2 linked regions of the Arabidopsis thaliana genome follow. The protein of the gene in region 1 interacts with the protein of each later gene in a biochemical or structural test. Each region holds a gene or a part of one and is shown on either strand. Other genes may lie near its edges.

The links. The genes of interacting proteins can lie anywhere in the genome.
Region 2: the proteins of AT4G20790 (region 1) and AT2G45340 form a complex in vitro, tested with the Arabidopsis thaliana proteins (one large-scale study listed by BioGRID).

Annotation. Positions count from the first base shown.
Region 1 is NC_003075.7:11,134,241-11,138,000, reverse strand, and holds AT4G20790 (Leucine-rich repeat protein kinase family protein), read left to right. Parts: upstream 1-1,577; coding exon 1,578-2,835; intron 2,836-2,927; coding exon 2,928-3,226; downstream 3,227-3,760.
Region 2 is NC_003071.7:18,689,857-18,693,616, forward strand, and holds the start of AT2G45340 (Leucine-rich repeat protein kinase family protein), read left to right. Parts: upstream 1-1,807; 5' UTR 1,808-1,882; coding exon 1,883-2,312; intron 2,313-2,673; coding exon 2,674-2,934; intron 2,935-3,141; coding exon 3,142-3,760.

The DNA of each region.
Region 1 (3,760 bases):
GTCCCCTGAAAAAACGAAAACAGAGTCATCGTCTCCATCGTTATTTGTTGGCCGTACACTCAATTTCATAAACTGTAAAGCTTCTTATGATAACTCATACCTTCCATCTCGACAGATTTTGACAATGTGTGTATGATTTTCGAAGTGACGAGGGTTTATCTTCTTTTGACAATGACGACTTCAGAGAAGATGTCGACGACGAGAGAAGTTTATGTTCAACGAGGGTTTAGGAGATAAGTTTATGTTTGGTTTCAATGTCTTGAGGACAAATGGGTTTGAGTTTTGTGATATTAGCCCATGACAAATCTTGAATTTTGAATGATATTGGGCTGGTTTGAATTTGGCCCATTAGTTTTCATCAAAACACAAGAGGGGTAAAACGGTCTTTGACTATTTGCTGTATTAGAGGAGGGCTGTATTAGAGAGGACAGAAGAAACTACCCTATCAGCCTATTTTTAAAAAAACTGTCTAGTTCTCAAATTATTTCCCTAAAAACTGCCTAGTTCTCAACTTATCTCAAATGACTATTCCTCTCACTTTTTGAGTTAGTGCTCATGGAAGTAGCATTTAGCTTCTGTTGAATTCACCTTTTAATGCGTTGCATTAGTGTAAAATTCTCTAACAATTAAGAAGCCTGAGTAAGTTTGCAATAAATTTTATTTTCTTTATCAAAAGTTTACCTTTTAGCTCCTGTTGAATTTCCATTTTTTTAAAGATTCATTAAGACAATAACTATTATTTTTATATATTTTTATTATTCTTAATTAAGAAAATACAAAAAATTATAAAATATGTTAATAACAAAATAATAAACAATACAACATAGGAAACTATACCAATTAAAGAAATTAAATGCATATAGATTAGATGAATAAAAATAGAAATGTAGAAAATTAAAAATTATATATATGATTCTATAAATCTAAATTTTAAATTAGGCATATTAATTTGGTAAAATTGCAGAAATATAAAGTTCATTGGATATAAAGTGAAACTATTGAAGATTTTATTGATAGTAGTTTATATAATTCAATTCAATTCTCAAACAAAAATTATATTTAACATTGAGCACATTTACCAAATAATTATCGACTCAAATTCACCCACGTAGATGTTTGTTGCGCAAGAAAGAGAAAAAGTTTAGAACAAGATAAATAGACCAAAGAGACAAGAAATATATGAAAGGAATTCGAGGCACAATCTTACAAATACAAGCAAAACCATTCTAGATAATTTTTTACCAACTGACATAAACACATTATTATGTGTTCAATGACAACGAAAATGATAATTAAACATTGAAATTTGTTTTCATAGTGGAGCTATTGTAAAAAGTGTAGATATTCACAAAATTTAAAAAACTTCACAATTATTATTATTTTAATAATCTTCAACTTCCAAGCACACGATCACTAAAAGGAAAATGGGCGCGTAAATCTCATCCCACTCTGTTTCAAAATAACCGCCAACAACAACAACACCTCCAATAACACAGAAACTACCTCTCTGCTTCTCTCTCTAATCTCACCCATACACGAAACCAAATAACGAAACCTATTTGCTCTCTATCTCTCCAATGGCGTCTTCTCTGTTCTTCATCTTCTTCCTCACGTCACTACTATCATCCTATCTTCCTCTCTCAGTATTCTCCGCAACCGTCGTCGAAGACCTCGCTAATCTAAGTCCACCTCCTGATTTCAACACCACTATTTCCAACAACTGTCTTCGTGATCCAATGCTCCGTTACTGCAACAACACTTCCTCTTCTCCAATGGACATTGTCGAGATTTTCAGATCCACAATCGTCGCTAGTCATCTCTGTAACGAGTCCAAAAACCCTAACTGCGTTGAATCTTTCCCTAGAATCAGAATTCACGGTCGTCCTAAAACCGCTGCTCTTTACCTCTCTTTCGATTTCTTCTGGAAGTACTGTCCTTTAACCGTCGTTGATATCGAGTTAGTGAATAACTCTCTAACGAATGGTTTTCCGACAAATGTTCTGTCTTGTGCTCAGATTCGTACTCTTGATCTGAGTTACAACCAATTCTCTGGTTTTGTTCCGGTTCAAGATCTCTCAGGCTTACCCAATCTGACCCATTTGAACCTATCGTATAACCGATTCTCCGAGAATAAGATCTCGGATTCTGAGTTCTTCAAACGGTTTAACGCCTCTAGTTTCATACAGTCCGGTGTTCTTCCCAACGTGAAGCGTTACAAGATGAAAGTTTTGGTCTTGTTGATTGTTTTTCCAATAATGGTGATTTTGCTCTGTTTTTGCTTTGGCTGGTTATGTGTCAAGAGACCTGATTACTTACCAAGAACATGCCGGAGAAGAAACAAGTTCACATTCGCGATGCTTGAAGCAGCAACGGATGAGTTTTCAGATCAACATCTTGTGAGCATGAGCAATACAGTGGATATCTACAAAGGAACGTTAAGAGACGGGACAGAGACGAAGATCGAGGTTTATAAAGAGAAGGTTTCGAGTGAGAAAAGGCGTGAATTCGCAGAGGTATGCGAGATGGTTTTTAAGTTACGACACAAGAACTTGGTAAGAGTGTTGGGTTGGTGTAATAGTAGAAACATGAGAGCTTTGGTTACAGAATGGATTCAAGGTGAAAATGTTGAGACTTGGTTAAGTTCGTCAATGGCTTTATCATGGAGAAGAAGGTTAAGAGTAGTTCTAGGAGTTGTAGAAGGTATTTGTTATCTATCAGATCAATGGCCAGAGATTACATTTGATCTCACCACAAGCAGTGTTTTGTTATCCGATGATAATCAAGAACCTTTGATTTCTCATTTCAAGATTGGAGATAGAAACAACTTGTCAACAAGTAAGGCTTCATCTTCTTCTTGCAAAAATCAAAACCTTTTTAAGGCTATAAAAGCTAAGTCTGTTGTTGTTGTTGTTGTTGTGTTATTACAGATATATTCAACTTTGGATTGTTTTTTGTGGAGATGATTACAAATCTAAGACCTGATTTGGGACAAGAAGATTCAGAAAGAAGGTATCTTGAGTATATAAGAGTTCATTATCCGGATAATCTAGAGAGAGTGATTGATGAGAAGATGAAGATTGAGGGGAGAACATTTGATCAAGTTAAGCAAGCCATTACGCTAGGACTGATGTGTACTGATATAATACCACCATTAAAGCAACCAAGCTTGACGCAGATTTATGACTTGGTGAGTTCATTGTATGAGTCTAGTTCACGACATCATTGAAATACCTTGTAAAGCTTTATTGGTTTCTTTTGATTTTCAGACATCTGGTGTTAGATAGTATTGTAAGGATTAAAGACATATTTGTGTGTTTTTTCTTTGATTACTATAAGTACTGAGAGAATTTGCAGAAAATGAGTACTTAATTTGCAGACATGAAATCTGTAAATGGGCTTCATTTCTGCAAATGGGCTTTATTAGCTGAAATGGGTTTCATAGTTTTATGGGTTCTCAAATGACCCGACCCGGGTTGGAAGATATAGAAACTATACACTGGTTGGCAAATGGGAACGTTCGATTAAAAATTCGGTAACTACTACGACGTGACTTGTCTCTTCTCCGTTGAAAAGCCATCGACAGTTATGTATGAGTGTATCATTTATCAACTTGAAAGCAATTTCAGTTTTTAAAATAATCCAAATACTAATAAACCAGAAATTAACCCATCATCAAAGCATTAATAATCTTCATTACCATTTGAAACCGAAACTTGTATCACAATTAAATAACGATCATAAAATTAGACGTTTTTTTTTC
Region 2 (3,760 bases), on another chromosome or scaffold:
TTCTATAAAATTTACCACTTAGATGTACTGTGTATCGGCTAATTAATTGGTCATAAACTATTACTTTCAAATGAGTTCTACGTACTATTACTATAGTTTAAAAGTAAAGTAAAATCATATTCAATCAACTTAGGAACTCAAATTAATATTGTCTAATTAACACAATGTCATCATCATATAGAGATTTGACTGCACTAATTAAGTTATCATGGACACTTTCTTTCTGAAAATTCTCATTTTCTCACTCAAATAATAATTTCATTCTATAAATAGATAATGAAATACACACACATCTATCATCCACCAAAAATATCATCCACCACTACCCACGAAGTAAGAAAATTACAGAGAAAACGGAATATCTTTTAAGTAGACCTTAGCCTTTTGCTTTATTCTCTTGCTTTATGTCTTTCTTGTTTCTGTAAATTCACATGTTACACTTAGAGGAGAGCGAGGTGTTGGTCCATTTTACCTTTTGCTATGATCAGATATAGAAGATAGCAAAAACATTAACTCAAGACAAGTTCACATGTTTGTAAAATTTTACGTAAATTTGTTTATTAATTGTGTTAGAAAAATGTTCACATGTTGCTACTATTGACTTGCCTCCATCATCTTCTTTGTCCCATTTGATGTACTCTTAGCCCCATGCCTCTTGGATGCCTTTTTTACCTTTTAATTTGTTCTTATATAATATAAAATATTAGCTACCCTTTTTTTTGTTATTCATGGAACAATTATTTGCATCAAATATAGTAATTTAATGGAATAATATCAAGAAGATCCCATTTATCTTTGTACCTTATTCTCCATGTGAACATATAAAGCTTGTTATCAGGTTATTTGTACATGTAATATCTAAGGGTGTTTACTGATGATGATCGGATAAACTCGAGGTTTGATTTAGTCAAATATAGTTCTTTTCTAACTAAAATCCCAACCTCACAATTTTGATGTTTTTCAGTAAATATGGTCATTAATAAGTTATGAATTCGCTAATTAATAGAAATTTATAAGAAAACATATATCCAACATTTATGGATATATGAAAAGTTAAAAACAAATGATATAAAAAGTACAATTTTATAGCTGGTGCACTGAAAAAGAAACAACTTTTCTTACCATTAAATCCAGGGAGAATGGTATCATTTTCAATTTTGAAAAAAAGCTAAGATTCGCCTAACTATTATTGTTTTCCTCTGAAAAGACTTTAAAAGTAATCTTTACCGTATAAAGTACAGAAAATGAAATGAACTCGTGGACTTCAATGTTTTCAATTTTCATGAGTCTTTTGTTTTCCTTCAATTTCCAAATAAACTTATATATATATACTAATCAATCAAAAACAATCCACTCAAAATGTGAAACTATACATGTAGAATACTTGATGTAACATGAACAAACAATCAAAATATTGTAGTTAAAAAAATTTACTGTTGATTTTGATCAGTAATATGTGTAATTAAAAAGTGATAAAAAGTCAAGTGGTTTAAAATTATCATAAGAGTAACATATGGACTATGGTTCAAATACTTTCATTGCAATAACAATTATGTATAGTTAGCTACTATATGAATGTCTTAATACATTGCAATAACTTACATTGGAGATTAGTCTATATACATTTATATATTAAAAAATTAGAGTTGTGATCTATATAGTTCTCTATGTTATCATTTTACATTTTCATAGTTGAACTAACTTTTTATTATTATTATGTTCACGATATCTATACTTTTGTGGTTTAAGCTTTTCTTAGTATTAACAATCAAGAACTACTATTTTATAAATACAATGGACAAGATTTTTTCTTCAAAACCACAAGAGAGAGTCATTTTCATTTTCTTCCTCATCTCTCTCTCTCTCTTCTCTCCAACCAAACATGGTCTCTCCACTCACACTCTTTCTCATCCTCTTCTTCTTCTTCCTTTCTTCTGCACTGTCTTCCTCCTCCTCAGAGCTCGACATTCTCCTCGATATCAAATCCTCTCTCGACCCTGAAAAACGTTTCCTCACTTCATGGACTCCCGACGCCGACCCTTGCTCCTCTGGCTCCTTCGACGGTGTCGCGTGCGACGGAAACCGCCGTGTTGCTAACATCTCTCTTCAAGGAATGGGTCTCACTGGAACTATCCCTCCTTCAATCGGTCTTCTCACAAGCTTAACCGGTTTATACCTTCACTTCAACTCCTTGACCGGTCATATTCCTAAAGATATCTCAAATCTGCCTCTCCTCACCGATTTATACCTCAATGTCAACAATCTCTCCGGTGAAATCCCTCCTCTAATCGGGAACTTAGACAATCTTCAAGGTCGGTCTATTTATGCATGTGTTCTTTGTTAACCTCACTCACTATAATTCATTTATTGCAGCTAAAACACCTTAAGCGGGTCAAATTTGGTTTATTAAAACTTAGCTAAAAAGAGTTTAGGTCTTGAATGGTGTAGATTTTAGTTTTTTTTTTTAATCATCCATTCAAGTTTTTAGATTTTTGAGTCTCCTAGAAACTAGGGATACTCTCTATTGTCTCCTTCATCTTTCACTCTTTTTTATGCAAAACTCAAAAACAATTTTATTTGGGGTTTTGAAACTAAAATGTAAAACTCAACAAAAATAAGGGCAAATATAATTGCATCTATATATTCATAACACTTTTTTTTTTTTTTTTGCAGTTATACAGTTATGTTACAACAAGTTAAGTGGAAGTATACCGACACAGTTTGGTTCTCTTAAGAAGATAACTGTCTTGGCTTTACAGTATAACCAACTCTCCGGCGCCATTCCGGCGAGTTTAGGCGATATTGATACGTTAACGAGGCTTGATTTGAGCTTCAACAACCTCTTTGGTCCTGTTCCGGTGAAACTCGCCGGTGCTCCTTTGCTTGAAGTTCTCGACATTCGTAATAACTCCTTCTCCGGCTTCGTTCCCTCTGGTAATAATTTATTTTCCCTCAAGATTCATAAATTCTTCAGATTCTAAACCGGTTCAGTGTTGACCAATCCGATTAAACAGAACCGGGAACCAATCCAAAACCGGATCGTGGAGAACTTAAACCATATCAATTCTAAACCGGTTTTTACAACCACATTAAAGATGTTTTGCTGACTTGTTTGTTTCTTGATTTTTATGAATTATGAAGCTTTGAAGAGGCTAAACAATGGATTCCAGTATTCAAACAATCACGGTTTATGCGGAGATGGTTTCACTGATTTGAAAGCTTGCACCGGCTTAAACGGTCCGAACCCTAACCGACCAGACCCAACAAACCCAACGAATTTCACAACAGTTGACGTGAAACCAGAATCAGCAGATTTACAACGAAGCAATTGCAGTAACAACAATGGCGGGTGTTCATCAAAATCCTTAAAGTCTTCACCTTTAGGAATCGTCATGGGTCTAATAGGATCAATCCTCGCAGTTGCAATCTTTGGCGGTTCAACATTCACATGGTACAGACGAAGGAAACAGAAGATTGGAAGCAGTCTTGATGCAATGGACGGTAGGATTAGTACTGAGTACAACTTCAAAGAAGTTTCTAGAAGAAAAAGCTCTTCTCCATTGATCAGCTTAGAGTACGCAAGTGGTTGGGATCCGTTAGGACGAGGACAGAGCAGTAACAACAACAGTGCATTGTCTCAAGAAGTCTTTGAGAGCTTTATGTTCAATCTTGAGGAGATTGAGAGAGCTACTCAGAGCTTCTCTGAGATTAACTTGTTGGGGAAGAGTAATGTCTCTTCAGTTTATAAAGGTATCCTTAG